Cricetulus griseus: one gene and its partners. The protein of the gene in region 1 purifies or fractionates together with the protein of each later gene. This does not show direct contact. Links are inferred from orthologs where the notes say so. Each region holds a gene or a part of one and is shown in the gene's direction. Other genes may lie near its edges.

What was found.
Region 2: the proteins of Cnot1 (region 1) and Cnot8 purify together in Homo sapiens (co-immunoprecipitation; 5 studies listed by BioGRID and IntAct, with this or other methods). This does not show direct contact. The link is inferred for Cricetulus griseus from reciprocal best matches to the Homo sapiens genes CNOT1 and CNOT8.
Region 3: the proteins of Cnot1 (region 1) and Tnks1bp1 purify together in Homo sapiens (affinity purification with mass spectrometry; 5 studies listed by BioGRID and IntAct, with this or other methods). This does not show direct contact. The link is inferred for Cricetulus griseus from reciprocal best matches to the Homo sapiens genes CNOT1 and TNKS1BP1.
Region 4: the proteins of Cnot1 (region 1) and Capza1 purify together in Homo sapiens (affinity purification with mass spectrometry; 3 studies listed by BioGRID and IntAct, with this or other methods). This does not show direct contact. The link is inferred for Cricetulus griseus from reciprocal best matches to the Homo sapiens genes CNOT1 and CAPZA1.
Region 5: the proteins of Cnot1 (region 1) and Cnot10 purify together in Homo sapiens (affinity purification with mass spectrometry; 4 studies listed by BioGRID and IntAct, with this or other methods). This does not show direct contact. The link is inferred for Cricetulus griseus from reciprocal best matches to the Homo sapiens genes CNOT1 and CNOT10.

The regions. Positions count from the first base shown.
Region 1 is NC_048596.1:171,936,700-171,940,211, reverse strand, and holds part of Cnot1 (CCR4-NOT transcription complex subunit 1), read left to right. Parts: coding exon 1-61; intron 62-1,137; coding exon 1,138-1,317; intron 1,318-2,015; exon of another isoform or gene 2,016-2,151; intron 2,152-2,461; coding exon 2,462-2,578; intron 2,579-2,904; coding exon 2,905-3,015; intron 3,016-3,458; coding exon 3,459-3,512.
Region 2 is NC_048600.1:72,166,476-72,170,774, forward strand, and holds the start of Cnot8 (CCR4-NOT transcription complex subunit 8), read left to right. Parts: upstream 1-1,489; 5' UTR 1,490-1,631; intron 1,632-4,299. UniProt on the Homo sapiens protein: Has 3'-5' poly(A) exoribonuclease activity for synthetic poly(A) RNA substrate. Its function seems to be partially redundant with that of CNOT7.
Region 3 is NC_048599.1:90,486,587-90,490,701, reverse strand, and holds the start of Tnks1bp1 (182 kDa tankyrase-1-binding protein), read left to right. Parts: upstream 1-1,309; 5' UTR 1,310-1,441; intron 1,442-1,951; exon of another isoform or gene 1,952-2,335; intron 2,336-3,711; exon of another isoform or gene 3,712-3,864; intron 3,865-4,115. Other genes in the region: FACT complex subunit SSRP1, read left to right, coding at 1-34.
Region 4 is NW_023276806.1:52,113,500-52,117,626, forward strand, and holds the start of Capza1 (F-actin-capping protein subunit alpha-1), read left to right. Parts: upstream 1-1,317; 5' UTR 1,318-1,409; coding exon 1,410-1,448; intron 1,449-4,127. Other genes in the region: St7l (suppressor of tumorigenicity 7 protein-like), read right to left, coding at 479-692. UniProt on the Homo sapiens protein: F-actin-capping proteins bind in a Ca(2+)-independent manner to the fast growing ends of actin filaments (barbed end) thereby blocking the exchange of subunits at these ends.
Region 5 is NC_048597.1:221,673,497-221,677,008, reverse strand, and holds part of Cnot10 (CCR4-NOT transcription complex subunit 10), read left to right. Parts: intron 1-461; coding exon 462-611; intron 612-1,618; coding exon 1,619-1,821; intron 1,822-3,512. UniProt on the Homo sapiens protein: Component of the CCR4-NOT complex which is one of the major cellular mRNA deadenylases and is linked to various cellular processes including bulk mRNA degradation, miRNA-mediated repression, translational repression during translational initiation and general transcription regulation.

The DNA.
Region 1 (3,512 bases):
TATCCAAGAGAAAATCGCTTTTATCTTCAACAATCTCTCACAGTCAAATATGACCCAGAAGGTAAGCATGATATAATAGTTTATGAAATGCCCTCTCCTTTTCCTTGATGGGAAGAGGGATTTTTAAAAACCGTTTTAGTTAAATCAGTCAGGTACATGGTATAAGTCTGTAGTCTGAGCTACTGAGGTGGCCAAAGTTGGAAAATTGCTTAAGCACAAGGAAAAGACTAGCCTTTTCTATCATTTAGTGATAGAAAGCCTGCTTGAAAACAAAAGCAAACAAACTCCATTTAAAAGGTATGATTTTTTAGTTGGTTGTGGTGTCACATGTCTTTTAAAAAGGAAAAAAGAAGGCACTTTTGCAGGAATTAAGCAGTATCCCTTTGAGTTGTATTGTTTTGCATTGAGTTGTAGCGATTTTGAAATAATGTCATGCCCTTCTGATAAGGGAAGTGTTACTTATTTTTGGTGGTAGGGTTTTTTGTTTGGCCAGCTTGGAGCTCACTATGTTAACCATGATGGCCTCTAAATTCTGTCTGCCTCTCAAGTGCTGGGATTAAAGGTCCTAACCTCCATGCCCAACCTTGATGGGAGGTTTCATTTTATCTTATTCCAGAAACTACGTGTTTATTAGACCCAGGAAGAACTGTGAGGTACACCTATGAGAAGCATAAGGAACAATGCCTGCCTTTTGAGAGTAAAGATTCAGATAGTACTTTTGAAGTGACAGTCTTTGAAGAGATTATCATAAGTAGGTTTTAGGTTGTGCATGGTGACACATAGTAAAATAGAGGCAGGAGGATTTCTGAGACTTTGAGGCCAGCTTGGTCTACATTGTGAGTTCCAAGCTACATAGAGAGACCCTGCCTCAAAAACAAACAAACAAAAGATGTAAGTTTAATATGCTGGGCCTTGGGGTGTAAGCTTGTAATACCAACACTTGGGAATCTTTTTTAAAAAAATCTGAAGAGTACTTGTCAAAATATCATGGGGAAAGACCCATCTTAGTAGTTCAGTATCATGGAGTTTATGTGGAGCCAGATGCTGTGTGGTGTGATTCATAAAACCCAGGATTCATTCTGTCTGTTTTTCTATTTGTACTAATTATTTATTGCCTATGTCATGTTGACTGGCTAGGTGGAAGAGCTTAAAGAAACCGTGAAGGAAGAGTTTATGCCTTGGGTTTCCCAGTATCTAGTTATGAAAAGAGTCAGTATTGAGCCAAACTTTCATAGCCTGTATTCAAACTTTCTTGACACATTGAAGAATCCAGAATTTAACAAGATGGTTCTGAATGAGACCTACAGAAACATTAAAGTAAGAGTTCTTAATAAATCCTTTAATAACTTTAAGTTGATTTTAACAGGTATAACTTGGGATGATTTGTTCTTTTTCTCTTTGTTATTTATGTTAGATACCCACAGAAAGGGTTGTGGATTTTGTATAAGATGTTGAACCTACTGGGTTCAATAGACCTAATTTTAAATTACTTTAGCCCAAGTTTTTATGCGCTCATATGCACATGTGTGTGCTCAGAGGACAACTTTCAGGAGGTGGTTCTCTATAATATGGTTCTCGGGGCTCCAACTCAGAATATCAAACACCAGAATATCTGGTTTTGTGGCCACTTATGCTAACATGTAACACAGTATATTTGTGGTGTATAGTCTTGTTGACGTGGTAGCGCCCAACCACTTCTCCCTCATCTCTTTGGAAATTAGCTGCAGCATTGTTCTCAGTTCTCTATCTTGGTTTTTACATACTAGAAATAAAACCTTTTTGCTGGCTAAGTGTTGGTTATCTAGATTCCAGATCTATTTGTGAAATAGCTTGGGTTCTGGAATTCTTTACAGTTCAAGGTTATATACTCTTATTATACTTGTTCCGTAAAGTTCAACTGTTTCACTTCTAAACTACCATTTATGTTTGAATTTGAAACTTTTTCAAGAAACAGTGTAAACCAGATGAAGCTGAGATCATCCATTATTGAGTAACTTGGGTCTGGCTTAGGAAGTAGCACTATATTTAAACCTACAGATGGGAATTTTCCCCATTCTAGGTTACGCTGTAGTGCAAAAAGAATTCCTGGCTCCTGGTTGCACAGCTGACTTATGCCATTTTGCTGTTGCTTTATGGAGTTAAGGAACATTGTGTTCTACTTTTATTATCTTATAGTAAGGATTTTTTCAATCTTTGGAGATTCTCATGTACTGGAGCAAATTTCAATAATAACCATTTATTTGTTTACTGTGTCATTGTGTGTTGTAACCAGGGTTTTATACATGGTAGATTACTATTCCACCAATTGAGCTCCTTAAATGATACATGGAATAGATCTACTTTGGGTGTATTCTCAGAATTGATAGCTTACTTTTAAAATGGATACTGGAATTCTCAATATGAAATTGAGAATTTCTTTCATAAACTTATTGTTATATTTGTATATCCTATACTATTTTAGGTGCTGCTGACCTCTGATAAAGCTGCAGCCAATTTCTCAGATCGTTCTTTGCTGAAGAACTTGGGACATTGGCTAGGAATGATCACATTAGCTAAAAATAAACCCATCTTGCACACGGTGAGTTTTACGATAGACATACATATGTAAAAGTTGGCTAGAAGGAATGCTTTGATTATCACTGGGCTTTTACAAGACTTGGACCATGTTAGAATTGTTAATTTTGTGTTCATGGTCTCTTGGGCTCTTTTAGGATATAGAAAATCCAGTGAGGTGTGCTTGTACCCCCCCCCCTTTTTTTTTTTCTTTTTCTCAGGCAAGGATTGTATTGATTGTACTTTGAGAGATAAGCTTAGTGAGTGACATACCTTTAAGTTATGCCCCCTTCCCCCAAGGGCTTCTGGAACAGATTCCTGGCTTCTCAAAATTTTGTTTTAAATTTCTAGGACTTGGATGTGAAATCTTTGCTGCTAGAGGCTTATGTTAAAGGACAACAAGAATTGCTTTATGTAGTGCCCTTTGTTGCCAAAGTTCTAGAGTCCAGCATCCGTAGTCTGGTGAGTAAATGTTATTCATGGTGAGTTGTGAGAGATTGTTAACACAATTCCCAAGAGATAGCTTTCTTCTTATGCACATGGAGCTATTTTTTGGGTTGGTTTCTTTTAAAGACTTAATGCATGTGTACCGGCCCACCAGAAGAGGGCACCAGATATCATTATAGATGGTTGTGAGCCACCATGAAGGTGCTGGGAATTGAACTCAGGACTTCTGGAAGAGCAGCCAGCAGCCAGTGCACCTAACCTTTGCGCCATCTCTCCATCCCTGGTCTTAGATAGTTTTAAAGTTAGGTGAAATTATAAGACAGAATATATCACCCTCAGTGTTTTTCTGTAATGTGTTGGAGTTTTTTTTTATGATCATGTAAATTTAAATGTTGAAATAATACTTACTAAATAATTCTTTGATTTAGAGGTAGCTTAATACCATAACTTTTCTTTAGGTATTTAGACCACCAAACCCCTGGACAATGGCAATTATGAATGTATTGGCTGAA
Region 2 (4,299 bases), on another chromosome or scaffold:
GAGAACCGGATGTTTTCTATTCAGCTCTTTCAGTGCACACCAGGCCTATTGTTGGCAAGAAAAAAACAAAATTCCAAGAATTTCAAAGGCTGCTCCTCACATGTCTAGCACATGATAGAGCCACCCTCTCCTGAATCTAATTACAAGTAGGTGAACAGAGCAAAGACGGAGCACTGAACACGAACTGAAAGAGTGCAGCCTCTAGCTAGCCTAGACAGCCCGACACCTCAAAAGAGTCCCGCTGGGCAGCAAATGCCATCAACATTGTTGCAGAGAGAACCCACAGCAGATACAGTTACTAACTGCTCACACCTCATTGGGGTGTTGCTCTATCTAGGGGTTCAATCTCATCATAACCTTGAGACCCGTGTCTCTATTTTACAGATCTGCAGAGAAGAAGCAAAGCCTGAGGTTCAGAAACTGCCTTTGACATTTCTACCCCAAAGTCTGGCTGTGGGATTTCACTTCCCTGGAGAAAAATTTTAGGCAATCCCGTTTGAAAAGCCAGCAGGTCATATTTTGGAATCTCTTCAGGAACAAAAATTTAAAATGAAAAGGGCAGTGTGACTAGGAGATGGGATGTCAGAAGGTGGACACCTGCTGTATGCTTACCTACAGCCCCCTGAAGAGGAAGCACCAGGCATGGAGGCAGGAGCCGCACTAGGCTCCCCACTTCCTCCCTGGGAAGGGGCAGGGCTCCTGCGAGGCCTTAGTCTTCCTGCCTCTTGGGAGAGAGAGACCACGAGGCGACGGTGCATCCCAGCTTGGCTTCGTTGCCACCAGAGCCCTGTCGCCAGTGGATGGAGGGCTCCGGTCGTCGCATTTTGCGCTAGCCCGCAGCGCTAAGAGCCGACCGTGCAGGTCCAAATGCCGCACTGCGGCCATCCGGTTGCCATGGCAATGCTCTGGACAGGTCCTGGGAGGCCGTGCTCAGCTGACCTCCGTCGTGACTCGGTTTGGTGGTGCTCCCCACCCCCAGCTAATGGTCACCCAGAAGGGGTTCCGCGGGGTGGGGGGGTGTTTTGTGAATGGGAAATCCACGGTGCAGCAATCCAAGGGTCAGGATACCCCACGTGCCCTGTGCCATCACCTCCAACCAGTAGTCGTAATGCGCCCTGACATTAGGAAGGACGTCTTGACTGGAGACTTGGTCAGAGGGGCCACGCCCTCGGGGTCAGCTGTTCCCGCGCAGGACACCCCAGAACTCAGCTGAGGTCGTAAAAGAGGAACGGCCAGGTCTCTACTGTCTGGGCCGTCTGAGAATGCACGTCACACCTCGACCTGAGCACGAGTCCTCCGACACCGCCCAGCCCCCTCATTCTGCGCTTGCGCAGAGAGGCGGGCGTAGTCACCTGAGCGCGCACTTGGGGCGGAGCGGGGGGAAGGGCGGGCACGCGCCCGCCTGTAGTGACGCGAGAGAGTAGGCGAGTCGGGAGGGCTGAAGGGTAGAGCGGCACATCCCGCAGGTTTGGTGCACATCGTCGGCCTCTCTGGGCCCCGGGACTGGAGTCTCACTGGCTCTCTGGGTTCCTGGAGCGGATCCGGGGCAAGAGGGAAGAGAGCTCCGGGTCAAGGGCCACTGCTGCCCGGACTCGGCCGCCAGCCCGCGCTCGGCGGGGCCGCCAGCCAGGGTAAGCGGGCTGGGTTGTTCAGGGTAGGAGCGTGGGGCGGAAGTGCCTCCGTGGCGACCCATCCTACACACGGGAACACTGAGGCGCAGAGTCCACGGCTCTCCGGCTCCCCGGAGTTCGGCTTGGAGGCCTTAAGGAGTGGTAGGGGAGGCTGGAGGCTGCCTTGCTTGGATCTTGGGGGTAATGCAGCTTTGCGTGGTAGGGCCACCCTGGGAGAGCCAGCAAGCTGGTTGGGGCGCCGGCTGAGTTCAGGGTTATGGCCTGGAACGCTCCGGAGGAGACCTGTTGCCATTTCTTCTAACGGGCCGCTGCTTCCTCTTGCGCTGGTCTCGCACGGCAAAGTCTTTGTTTAGTCCTCTGAAACAGGGAAGTGAAGCTTATTGTTTCCCAGCCGCTCTGGCGAAAACAGAGCCAGACGAGCAGGAGACACTCAGCTGAACGATCTGCACTGTTGGCAGGGAGAGCATGTTTCTGGCTTTCGCACTGCTTGCTCGTCATAGCTCACCTGGATGCACAGGGACCTCTGCTTCGAAGTTTGGATAATCAGGAGCAGTCTGAACAGATTGCTCTGCAGCCTGCACAGGGCAGAGGGGTGTCTGATTGATTGTCTGTGAACACCTTTTCCTTTTGCAGTTTCAAATGTAGCTGGTGTGAGGGATCAAGTTTTAGCCAGACAAACATTGTATGGGATAAAAATTTTGCTTTAAGGGGTTGGAGAGATCGCTCAGCTGCTAAAGCGCATTCTGCTCATGCAGAGGACCGGTTCGGTACCCAGTAACCACATCAAGCGGCTCACACCACCTACTCTAGCTTCAGGGTATCCAGCACGCTCTTCTGGGCCCTGCCAGCACTGCACTCACATCCACTTACCCATAAATAAAAGGAATAAAAATAAAAATTTAAAGAATAGTGCAGACTGGGCTGAGAGGTGGCTCAGCGGTTAAGAGCACTGGCTGCTCCTCTAGAGGATCCTGGTTTGATCCGCAGCACCCACATGACAGCTCACAGCTGTCTGTAACTCCAGTTTAGGGAATCCATCGCACCAGGCATGCATATGGTGCACATATATCTATGCACGCAGGCAAAATACACATAAAAATAAAACTTTTAGTTAGATGTGCACTATATGACCCCCCCTTGTATGTCTAGAATCCCTGTGGTTCTGACTGTGAATGACAGGGTCCAAAGCCAAGCAAGGCTGGTCTGGAACTTCGGATGCAAGCCCAGGGTGGCCTCCTGAGGCATGAGCCACCACTCTCCCCCTGGTTCATTTTCAGTTGAAAAGTACTGTCTTTCTGGGCTGGAGTCTGCTATTCATATTCCCACAGATCTGCTAGGGAAAGGTTTGCTATGGGTCTTTGTTAGTGTCTGCTCCCGTGTGGTCCTTCACCAGATAACATAGCAGTGGCTTTGAAAGTGGTTGACATCCTAAAACAAATTCCCTTTTAAACAACTTCAGGCGCTTCTTTCGTTCTCTTTCTTCCCTCCCTCCCTCCCTCCCTCCCTCCCTCCCTCCCTCCCTCCCTCCCTCCCTCTCTGCCTCCCTCCCTCCCTTTGTTTCTGCTTCCCTTTTGCTTTAATGGAAACATCTTTTTAAAAGTTCAGGAGTGACACCACTTACCTTCTGTAGTTTATGGTTGTGCCCAGCCCAGAGAAACAAGGCACCTGTTTCACAGTAACTGGGCATGGAAAGTGACTTCAGGAGCCAGATGAAGGGGCTCATGCCTGTAACTGTAGCACTTGGGAGGGGGAGACAGGATTGATTGTTACAAGTGTAGAGGCCAGCCTGGATAGCTCCTGAGTAAATGTTTTCTCAGTTGTCAGATGTTGAATTTACTGCACATTCATTGTGAATGTGCATCTTTCCTGTCCTCTATTAGCTCACTTGCAAACCTTCATTAATAGAACAAAAACACGAAAGGTGGATTGTGCCTCTAAGAAGTAGCTGCCACGTGTGTGTATATGTTGGGAGCTACCACAGTCACTTAAGTTTTTAGTTTCAAGGAGGCATCTGCGAAGTGACAACCTTGAATGAAAGGTCTAATAGGAAGTAGACAGCATTAAGAAGGATCCTCAGGGGGCTGGAGAGACGGCTCAGAGGTTAAGAGCACTGACTGCTCTTCCAAAGGTCCTGAGTTCAATTCCCAGCAACCACATGGTGGCTCACAACCATCCGTTATGAGATTTGGTGCCCTCTTCTGGTGTACAGATATACATGGAAGCAGAATGTTGTATACTAAATAAATAAAATCTTTAAAAAAAAAAAAAAAAAGGATCCTCAGCTGGGTGGTAGTGGCACATACCTTTAATCCCAGCACTCAGGAGGCAGTCAGGACAGCCAAGGCTACATAGAGAAACCCTGTAAAGATCCTCGATCTCTTCTGGAGTTTCTACTGCACCTGTCAGTTTTGAGATAGAAAACAAGGACTTCTCTTGTTCTGGTCTTTAGAAAACCCTCAAATTCATGTACTGTTACTGAATTTTTTTGCCCATGTGCACTAGAACTCAGCATTACATACTGTGTAGAGGATCCATACAGTGGGTTTACATTAAAAGGAAGCTTTTATGGGTTGAAGAGTTGACTCAGTGGCTAAGGGTACTTGTGAAAGACCCAGGTTCGAGTTCCAGCAACCACAGGTAGGCTTACCACCTCCTCGGACAGCAAGCA
Region 3 (4,115 bases), on another chromosome or scaffold:
CTCAGAGGACTCTGCCTCAGGATCTGATGAGTAGAGGAAGAAAATTCTTGTCCTTGCCCTGTCACATCTCCAGGCTTTCTACATAGTTCTTGGACTCTGTGCCATCTGAGTAACTGCTCCTGGTGGCTTCCACTTCTCTGAGGCAGGCATCAAGGGAAACATCTAACCTCAGCTGCTTTGCAAGAATGGCTCCTTGTAATCTGGGGAAAGACTGGGTAGGAGTGCATTCTGTCTGCTCACAGTGCGTTGAAGGATCTAAGTCCTCGGCTCACTTGCCCGACTGTAGGGATAAAGCTGCTTCCTGTCTTATTCAAGTGGCTGCATCAGGGGTCATGTGAAGTCAGGCCTGTAGCTCCTAATAGGGGCCTATTTCTACTTTTATTTTGTATTTCTGGTCTGTGAAGTCAATTTAATAAATGGAACTGACTTTGGAAACCATGTCCTTATGTCTCCTTTCCCACTTTACATGTGGTGTTTACCCTTCTATCCGGACTCTGCAGGGCCCTCCTGCCCAGCTGGGAAGCAAGTCTTGAAGCACATCCTGTCCTTCCTGGCTGGACAAGCATTGGTTTTCACCCTTGTCTGTGAACAATGCCACCTGAGAGTCAAGAAATGAGTGCTGATCTGATTAGGAAGCCTCTCAGAGTTCCACTCCATTAGCCAGCACAGGGGTGGGAGTCGGAGGGGGCGGGGTTCTCAGCTCCATCCTTAATCACTTTAGGAGACAAGGGTCTTATAAGGCTTGAGGTAATAGAATGAGGATCGACTTTCTAGTGCAGGGAGTGGAAACCTGAGTCAGGAGGATGAGTAGTGTGTGAGTGAAGTTAAGTGTGTGAAGGGAGGGCTACAAAATTTCATGTTTGGGAAGTGTATCTAAGAGAGCTCTTAAACAGATAACACGAGGGAAAAAGCTACTCCACTTTCTACTGTGGCTTTCAATCTGAATTTATACACGACGGGTGGCCACGTCGCTTGCGCTCCCAGGAAGACTCAGGTGTAACAGGAAGCCTGTTCAGTCCGCCAGCGGTTCCCTTCGTGCTGCCCGCGCTCTATGGTGCTGTAATCAGTGTAGGCTTAGGGAAAGCAGTCCAGAGCGGTTTCCTCTCTAGGCAGTCATCTCGGTGGCGCTGGGGTAAAATTGCGTCAGTTTCGCCTAAGTCTGAATCAGGACCGGCTCCTCATTTACAAGGTCATGAATAATTATGTGCGAGCTGTGCTTGTTTGCATCTCGTGGGCCGGACTCTGTTTCAGCTTCGGCTTCCCTCTCACGGATTCTTATATGAATATTCATGAACGGCATGGAGGCGTGTCCCTGGGCGGGGCTATGGGAGGGGCCCCGGGGCTTGCACTGGCTCGGTCCCGCGGTGACGGTGGCGGCAGCGGCAGCAGCGGTCACTGGCGTCGGGGTGCCTAGCCGAACGGAGCCCGTCCCGGGGAGCGCGTGAGTGTGCGGCGACGGCCGGAGGGGGCGGGGTCCGGGGATGGGGGCGGGGAAGGGCATGGAAAGAACCGGGCGCCTAGCAGTCCCGACCTCAGATTGGGGCGGCGGCGATGGTGGTGGGGGGGTCACTAGGAAAGTTTGCGAGGGCCTGGGGACGCGGGGGCGCTGCGGAGCTGGAGCGTGTGTGCGGGGGTGGAGAGCACTCGTGCCGGGAGCCAGAAGAAAGCGGGGAGAGGCGAGGGTGGGGCGGGGCCGGGCCGGGGGCGGGCGGAGCTACTCGAGGGACCCCCCCCTCCTGCCTTCACCGGCCCTCTTCCTCAACTCTCATGGCACGCCCCCAGCCACCCCAGGCCGCCCTCACAGTCCTCCTCGCCAGTCCTCGGTCTGTTCCTTCGCGGGCTGCTTGGCATCTCTCACTGTCCCCGCTGCTGCCGCCCCCTCCTCCTCCACCCTCATCTGCTCCTCCTCTTCGCCTGGCCGCTCGATGTCCGTAAGCTCCCCACGGAGGCCCTCCAAACAGCCCCTTGCCCTGGGCTGTTCCGCCTTCCTGTTGGCCCTCCCTCTTCCAACACTTAACCCTCCTGGTCGCACTAGTCGCACATTCAGCAGGAGACCTTTAGGGACGACCCTGCCGGCCCTTAGGGTGCCTGCCTGCCCAGGACTGAGGCTGCCTAGTGCCTTCCCATCCTTTGGGGGCAGCCTTTACTCCCAAGGCTGTCTGGTTTCCCTAGACCATTAAGGGTGCGGAGTTCTTGAGGCACTGCGATTCTGCAGCTTGAGGCCATGGCCTTGGTTTCCTGGGGCTCCTGGCTGGGGCCTCTCTACTGTAGCCACCTCCTCTGTCTTCATCTCTGCAGCCCCTTATAACCTCAGAGGTGTCCATCAAGCCCACAGGTGAGAGGATTTTTTTTTCTAGACTAGTTTTTCTTCATTTCTAACCACCCACACCATATCCCTTGTAATAATGTTCAAGGACAAGGAAGCAATCTTGTGTATTTTTAATTTTATTTTTTCCTGTCACCCCCTCCCCCCCCACACACGTTATTCTCCCACGCACAGCCCGTGGTAATTGGCTGATCAGAGATTGACATTGTCACAGTTTCTCTCCATACCCTCTTCGAAATAAGCTGGGACAGGGTCAAGGGGATGGGGATGCCTTTTGCAAAGACTGGGCACCACAGGTCGTTTTTAGCATTGAGAGCTATCTTCTCAGACCAGTTGGAGTGGGAAAGGGACTTTGAGGTTGCAACACAGTGAGGGTTGGGTTGCCCCTCCAGGGTTGTGTGCATTCCGTGTGTTAGGCAGCTTCTCCCTTGCTTTTGAACCTCAGGGGCAGTGCTTGCTATTCATCAGGTAGCAGAGCCTGAGGGGGCCTTGTGGGTGGGAGGGTGCATCAGCACCCAGGGTGGGAACTGAGGAGGTGGAGTGCCTGAAGAACTGATGACTTGGGGTCATGAAGGACTGGTCTAGGAATGCAGCCTAGGGTAGGGGGAGAGTTATAGGTGGTTACCAAGGATGTTAGTTAGCTCATTAGTGACTCCGAATGTAGTCACATTAATAGTGGCCAACTGTTACTTATCACTTCCATGCTTGGTATTTTGCATGCATTATTTGGCTTGAAACTCAAGTCTTAATACCCCATTTTTCAGATAGGGAAAAGTCACACAGCTTTAAAATGGTAGACCCACTTAGCTGTTAAATCTGTTAATATCAGATTCAGAAGCTCATGTGACAGGCTACTACTATGTGGCTGTCATCTGGTTTAATTTCTTCTGGTCCCTCAAAACTCCTTCTGGCCGTTTCCAGGCTAGTGATCCACACATATTCCTATTTCACAGTCTATGCAGGTCCCTCCCTGACTGTCCTGGAAGGCTGGACCCTGAGGAGTTTTCCTCCAAGTCAAGCCTCCCACCCCCACCCCCCGCCCCCCAATCAAGTCCAGTCTGTCCTCTCCCTGCCCATCCTGGGCCGGCTCCTCCTTCCCTTTGGCTAGGCCCTGGAAATCCAGTGGGAGGCCATTGCTATGGTAACAGGACTAGGCCCTGGCTTTACCTCATCAAATTCCAAGCTGAAGCCAAAACGATTGAGAAATTAAAGGAAAAAAATGTATTCCAGATGTTTACTTTTTATTTCTTATTTCCCCGTGTTTGGATGAGACAGCTCTGAGAGAAGGAGGAGGGGGCAGGGATGTGAAAGGAGAATGGGGAGAAGGGGGTAGGGAGCCACTCCCAGCCCATAGAGGGAGGGAGGAGACTGGGAAGGGGGGGGCGGCAGTGGGGCGGAGCCCCAGGTCGGGGAGGAGCGGGTTTTTCCCGTCTCCCATGAGGTGATTCCCGAGACTTGAGACTTTCCGGCCCTCTTACCCCGCCTGGAGTGGATACCTCTAGTGGGGCTGCCTGACCAAGAAGGGTGTCTTGGGAACTGTAAGTAGGGTGTCACAGGAGGGTGCTTGGGGATGTTGTGAGTGAGGTGGCTCTCATGCTCCAGATCTCTGAGGTTCAGAGCCAAGAGTTGGAGAGTTGTAGCAAGGATGTGGCTGTGGGGTCCTTCCCCACCCCGCCTGTGGGGACCTCCCCGACCTCCTCCTGGAGTTCTCTCTTCCTGTCCCACACAGCCTGGGTTAGAAATAGACTTCCTTGGCTAAGCCTGTTGACTCGCCCAGCTCTTTTCCTTC
Region 4 (4,127 bases), on another chromosome or scaffold:
TCTTACACTAGAAGGAAGCATGGTCCTCTGAAATCATAGTATTACAGATAATGCTGATTTTCTGGGTGCGGGTTCTTTAAGCTAGGCGGCTGGAGACTCAAAGGCACTATTTTAAAGGGGGGCTGCAAATAAGAAGAATGTATGTATATAAATTGTGTGTTGGTAACTGCTCTTTTCTGTAAGACAGAAATGCTCTTTTCTGTCTTACTACCTGAAGCTTGCAGCTTGTCAGATAGTTTTTCCTGCGGTAATGTAGGCAGAACAGAGAGAGCGAACCTTCAGAGCTCTAGGGAGGGGCCGGCAAACTGCAGCACAGGTTTGACAATCAGCTGCCCGGTTGTTGTGGCCCAAGGGGGGGGAAAAATAACCCACTGGAGCATGCAACACCAATGCCTTCTCCAAAGCCCTCCACGACTCCCCGAGAATCTCTGCACTTTGGCGCTTGTCCCCGACCGTCCAGGAGGTTTGGGCCTCTCACCCGCTGTCACGTTGTCACACAGCCTCAGCGGGACCCTCAGAGCGTAAAGCAGCCCCAGCCCCGCCAGGAACCACAGCGTGGACCCAGAGTTCGCCAGCCCGGCCTTCAGCCGCTCTTTCCAGCCCAGCGGCGGGCCCAGGCCCAAGCCGGGAACAGGTGCATGGGGACACCCCACAGCCCGCGCGGCTTCCGCGAAGTATTCCCCGTCCGCCATCTTGCGGCTCCGGCAGGCGCCGGGACCTGGGAGGGGAGAAGGGCAGGAAACCCGGAGTTGGGAATCCTGGGATAGTGGCGGACTTGAAGCTGGCCTCTGTCAAGGCTGAGTCCTGGGGACCTGGACAGAGATCGGGAAGGCGACGGAGCGCGACCTCAGACCGAGGCGCCACCTGGTCCTCTAGGAGGGCGGGGAAGGATTCGAAGGTGGCACTTATTCTGCAGGAAACGGACTCAGTGTGGCGCTGGAGGGAAGTGGTTGTGGTTCCCTATGAGGTTGGGGGTCATCTTTCGCCCCGTTCCGGGACTGGAAAAGTACTGGTGTTGCCTAGAGCCGGGCAGCTCTTAGCGCACTGGACTCGGCTGCCTCGGAGACCTGCGGGACCAGGAAAACTCATAGGTGTAGGAACTGCTGCGTGACCAGAGGTAGCCCTGGCGCCACGGACAGTCGAGAGTCGCCACCGAGCTTCCAGGATGGATGGGAAAGTGACTGAAATTCAGTGAGAAAGATGTTAAGACTCCGAGGCCTCGATGGCAAAGCCTACTTTCCTAGAGCGTTGCCACTCCAGGCTGTCACACCCGCGCGGAACTGACATGGCGCCCTTTTGGCCGGAGCTTCCGGGCGGGTCCTTCCGACGGCCCCCTTGGTGATTCCACCACTCAGCTTCCTTCCCGGCCTGCCTCGCGCCGGTCGCCGGGCTGGGCCAGAGCAGCCAAGATGGCCGACTTCGAGGATCGGGTGTCGGATGAGGAGAAGGTAAGGGGTCCGCCTCTCTCCTTTACCTCCTCCCCCGACGGGGCCTAGGGGTCCGAGCCGGCAGCAGTGGGAAGCCTGGCGGTGTCCCCGGGAAAAAAAAAGCCCGTTTCCCGGTGCTGGCATACTCCCTGTGCACCCGGGACGCTTCCTTCCTTAAAGGGGCTTTCCTTTGCCTCACGGTGGCCCCAGTTCCCCATGCCTCAACTCTTTCCATTCTTGATCGAGCACAGCTTTCCTTTAAAAGAGGAGACACTTTACCTGATTGACTTTTAACTGTACTTTCTTTTATATAATTATAAGAGAGGGGATGAAGGTGATGTTGGGACGTGTCAGGCAGCAGCTATTTTACCGCCTTTGGCTGTTGGGGCTCCCCCCTCCCCATTTATAGGTATGATTGGGGTTAGTTTGGGACGAGTCACTTCCTGATCAGAGTTGCCTCCTTAACTTCCCTTTTGCTCCTCCTTCCTCAGGAAGTGATTTTGCTGTCATGACTCCTTGACAGGGAGAGGTCCTCTGTCTGGTATTATCTATCCACCTAACTACACACCCTGGTCTTTTCTCAGCTAGTGACGATTGAACTAATTTGATAAAAAATAAATCTGTAAACCTCAGGGCATTTGCTTAAGAGTTTGACTTTTGTTCCTGCTGCTGCTGTCTTGTGTCCGTGTATGGCCCCAAGGTGACTCCATCCCTTCTGTCTGTCTTAATCTTCTTAACTATAATTTTTTCAAAGTAATTTTGGCTTCCTGTTCAGCGAGGAATAGTAGCCAGTAGACTTTTTTTTTTTCAACTCCAGAAAAGTTTGGTAGTAAATAAACCTCACATTAACACATTTAGTTTAAATGACACACCCAGCCCTTTTTGATGACCTGCTGTGGTGTTTGATAGTTGGGTTTGACAGTGTGCATTGTGTAGTTAGATCTTTAAAGGCGGTTTAAATACAAGGGTGCATTATAAATTAAATGGAATGACTTTTTCTCAAAACAGCAAACGTTTACTAAGCAGTTTGTCCAAAAAAGAAAGAAGTGGCTGGCTCTACAGTAAACACAGCATTTTAGGGTTGGTAGAAGTAGAATGGTCTCACTAGATAACTCCTTATGGGACAAGAACATGTCTTTTGCTTCCTGCAGAGACTGTTACAAAGTGTGTACTCTCCAGTGTTCTATAAAAATCTGCCCAGGTTCTTATAGTAGTGAAAATATTGGAGATTGTTGGGAGGAACAGACTATTTTTGATCACTTCTCCATAAAGAATAACTTAACTTATACCTGTGTATGTGTGGGCCACCATTTTTAAATGCTGAAAATTTGCTTAATGCCTTTACAAACCACTTAACACGTACTGGGACGGCAGTTTCTTGGTAGAGCACTTTATACATGCAGTGTCCTGTGTTTGAACTTCAGCATCAGCATCAAAATAAAAAGCCAACAAATAACACATGAGGGTTGTTTTCTCTTAGGTGGAGATTGAGCATCATAAATGTAAATACCTAGGAAACAAAAAGACAGCTGAATTAACATTAGAAAGAAAACTATAGCAAAATGTTTATTCTAAGGCAAGTACTTTTGGTTCACATAACATCGTTAGAGTGAAATTTTATTCTGTTTCTTGAGACTGTGTCTCGTGTAAGCCTCCAACTCACTATATAGCAAGGATGACCCCCCCCATCCCTAATCCTCTTATCTCAACCTCTCAAGTATTACTGTTATATGCCATCACACTTAGATTTGTTGCTTACTTTTAATGATGATAGAACAAGCCAATAATTAGTAAATCTGCCCCAGAAGTAACCATGAATTTTATTCCTGTTTTAGTAAAGATCTTATTTTTTGTGTTTTGGGGACAGAGTCTTGCTATGTAGCCCTAGCTTGTCTGAAACTTGCTGTGTAGACTGGACTGGGCTCCAATTTGTCTCTTGCTTCTGCCTTCTATGTGCTGGGATTGTAGTCAAACCCCATGATGCTGGGTTTAATAGAGATTTTGGGGGTCTTTTTTTTTTTTTTTTTTTTTTTTTACTACATTGTCTTTATTGGTGTACATAACGAAATGTACTGATACAGTAAAAATCGTTGGAGATTTGAGCCAGGCATGGTGGTGCACACCTTTAATCTCAAGGCTCAGGAGGCAGAGGGTGGTGGATCTCTGTGAGTTCAAGGCCAGCTTCGTCTAAATGTGAATTCTAGGACTACATAGAGAGACCCTTAAGATTTGAGATTACTGTAGTTTTGTTAGATTCCTTTCCTCAGAGTTCACAGGCACATTCATATCTCTCTAAATCTATGAGTAAAAAGAAAGGGCTTTGAAAGACTTCCTGATTTGGGGGCTTCTTACCTTTGCCTGCTTTTCCTTTTAACCTTCAGATTTATTTTATCTGAATTCAAAACTTGAGAAAGGTAGGAAGGCTGGGCCTGATAGTGCCTGTCTGTAATATTCCCAGCTCTTGGGAGGTAAACAGAAAGAGGATTATGAATTTAAGTTTATCCTTGGTAACAGGGAATTTAAGACCAGCCTCAGCTACATGAATGGGACCCTTTCTCAGAAAAAAAACCAAAACAAACAACAACAACAAAAAAAAAAACGCTATTCTGAGAAAAGATTTTTCCAAGATATTTCCTGATTTGTTTACTTAGGGTTGTTGGGGATTTTTTGTTTGTTTGTTTTGAGAAAGTCTGAATTCTG
Region 5 (3,512 bases), on another chromosome or scaffold:
CTCTGCCTCTTCCTCTGCCTCTTGAGTGCTGTATACTCTGTTCTATTGCCTACATTCTCCCTGTTATTTATTCTTCACTTAGTGTATTTTAGCTGTTTCCATGTCAAGACCTTATATGTTCTACCATTGAGCCTCCATGTTTAGATTGCTTCATTGTTTGCAGTTTATATGGTATTTCACTGTGGATGTATGGCATGTATATTGTTTTTATTTTTTGTCACTTGCTGAAAATAAGGTCAGAAAAAAAAGTATGCAGGGTTGACTTAAAATAGTATTATCTGCCAGAAAGAGTGTGTCACCCTATCCAGTCCTCACACTTACACCATTCCTAATGAACTGCCTTTTAGCGACTAAGTGACATTCCAGATAGATTAACTAACTGACAGCAAGTAGATCTGATTTGTATATGAGGGACTGCAAAAACAAAATTGTGTGGATAAAGTGGTTTGTGTTGTTTTCAGGTGAATGCTTGAGGTGCATGTTTTGGAATAATCTTGGTTGCATCCATTTTGCCATGGGCAAGCACAATTTGGGGATTTTCTACTTTAAGAAGGCTCTGCAAGAAAATGACAATGTCTGTGCCCAGCTCAGTGCATGTGGCACTGATCCAGGTAGGCAGCACTGGGAACTGCAGTGTCCTGTTTAGAGACACGTTACTGAGAGAGCAAGCATGGGGGAGGAGAGCTGGGTGTGGGAGATACAGTCAGAGCTCAGGGGAAGTGACAAGTTTTGTTTGAAGGTTCCATAGTAAAAGGAGTTGCGGTCATCCCATCGAAGGGTGCAGGCCGTGTGGACAGACTTGGCTCTGGAGACATTTAGTAGTTATTGCACCTTGATGTTAGGAAGCTAAGAGAAACTTTGACTTACCAAAAAAAGGGGGGGGGGCTGGGGAAATGGCTCAGCAATTAAACAAGGGGAGCAGACCCCAGAATCTGCATAAATGCTGTGTACCCATGGCCAAGGCAAGATCCTGGAACAAGCTGGCTGGTGAGACCAGCCCTCTCAGGGAGCTTCAGTAACTGTCAGCAACAAAAAGGCCCGAGTGATTAAGAGAGCACCTCGACCTCAGACTTTTATACTTTCACATACGTACACACATGAAAACTCACAGACATGGGGAAAAGGAAGAAAATTCAGTTACCTCAGTTTGTTTTAGATTTGAATCAGTAACCCTAGATGGTGTGTTGATCAGTTCTAATTAGTCATTAGGATTTCTCCACTGTTAGGCCAGCGTTATTATAAATTGTTGGTGGAACTTCCCAAGTGATGGATTGGTGATATCTGACAGCCTTAAAGCATGACTGAAGTTTGTCATTTAACATTCAGATTATGTGGATCCTTGATCAGAAATGCTTAAAATCAAGTAGTTTGCTAATTTTTACATCATAAGCATCTATTTAATTGATTAAAAAAAATATTCTAGCCAGGCGGTGGTGGCACACACCTTTAATACCAGCTCTTGGGAGGCAGAGGCAGGTGGATCTCTGAATTCAAGGTCAGCCTGGTCTACAAGTTGAGTTCCAGGACAGCCAGGACTACCCAGAGAAAAAACAAAAAACAAAAGAAAGAAAGAAAGAAAAATATATTTAATAATCTAGTCTGCAATTTTTATTGCTAGGCAAAAAGTTTTCTGGAAGACCCATGTGTACTTTGCTAACCAATAAGAGGTATGAACTGCTGTACAACTGTGGGATCCAGCTGCTGCACATCGGGAGGCCACTGGCTGCCTTCGAGTGTCTGATTGAAGCTGTTCAGGTTTATCATGCAAATCCCCGGCTTTGGCTGCGGCTGGCTGAATGCTGCATTGCTGCCAATAAAGGGGTGAGTGCTATCTCTTGGGACTCTGCTTCTCCTCTCCAACACTTGTTACACAGAAAGCAAAACATACTTGGGATCTAAGACCTCAGTTTCCTTTTCAGCCTCACCGAATCTGTAGGAGACTCTTCTGTTAGCAGCTGGGGGTTGTTTGTCACTTGCTTAGCTCTGATTGTTGGCAAAGGGTTGGTGCCAATGAGAAGACTGTCTGTCAGAACAGTAGCTCCTGTTGGGCCTGGCCTGTGCCATCTGCAAGCATGAAGGAAGCGTGTGAGTGTGGCACTAAGGGTGAGTGTGTGAAGTGTGAATGTGGCGCTAAGAGTGTGTGTGTGAGGTGTGAATGTGGCGCTAAGAGTGTGTGTGTGAAGTGTGAATGTGGCGCTAAGAGTGTGTGTGAAGTGTGTGAGTGTGGCGCTAAGAGTGTGTGTGTGAAGTGTGAGTGTGGCGCTAAGAGTGTGTGTGTGAGGTGTGAATGTGGCGCTAAGAGTGTGTGTGTGAGGTGTGAATGTGGCGCTAAGAGTGTGTGTGTGAAGTGTGAGTGTGGCGCTAAGAGTGTGTGTGTGAGGTGTGAATGTGGCGCTAAGAGTGTGTGTGTGAAGTGTGAATGTGGCGCTAAGAGTGTGTGTGTGAGGTGTGAATGTGGCGCTAAGAGTGTGTGTGTGAGGTGTGAATGTGGCGCTAAGAGTGTGTGTGTGAAGTGTGAGTGTGGCGCTAAGAGTGTGTGTGTGAGGTGTGAATGTGGCGCTAAGAGTGTGTGTGTGAAGTGTGAGTGTGGCGCTAAGAGTGTGTGTGTGAGGTGTGAATGTGGCGCTAAGAGTGTGTGTGTGAGGTGTGAATGTGGCGCTAAGAGTGTGTGTGTGAAGTGTGAGTGTGGCGCTAAGAGTGTGTGTGTGAGGTGTGAATGTGGCGCTAAGAGTGTGTGTGTGAGGTGTGAATGTGGCGCTAAGAGTGTGTGTGAAGTGTGTGAGTGTGGCGCTAAGAGTGTGTGTGTGAGGTGTGAATGTGGCGCTAAGAGTGTGTGTGTGAGGTGTGAGTGTGGCGCTAAGAGTGTGTGTGTGAGGTGTGAATGTGGCGCTAAGAGTGTGTGTGAAGTGTGAGTGTGTTTGGCGCTAAGAGTGTGTGAAGTGTGAGTGTGTGACTTTGGCGCCTGTTCTGATGGGGAATGGACAGGAGTGCAGTAAGCAGCATTCCCTGCCGTGAAGCGCGTGACAACCAAGTTCCTCCTGACACACTGTCAGCTGCTCCAGCCTCCACACGCCTGGACATGGCAAGGGGGGGTCGTTTCCCCACTTTTCACTGACCTCTCTCAACCCAAGACTTCGGAGGCTGCTACTGTCTAGAGGTGACGGTGCAGAGCAGCCTAGTTTTAGACATTGTGGACAAGTGTGTCAGGAGGGTCTTGCCTGGCATGCCTGCCCGCCAGAGCTTACATCAGATGCTGAGGTTGTTCCCTGAGCAGCATTTTCTGAACAGCAGGCAGAAGAACCCAGGGCTTTGAGGAGGCATGTAGATGGGCAGTGTTTGCACTCGGGGTTGAGGTAGTCAATGACTTTAGTGCAGCGGAGAAGACAACACTAATGGCGCTCCTGAGTGGCTCGGTGGTGCCTTCGCTTGTGCTTTACCTTGCATGGTGTCGGGTGTGCACGCATGTTCGCATGCTGGCTCACACTCAGCTTTATGCATAGCAGGAAAGTACT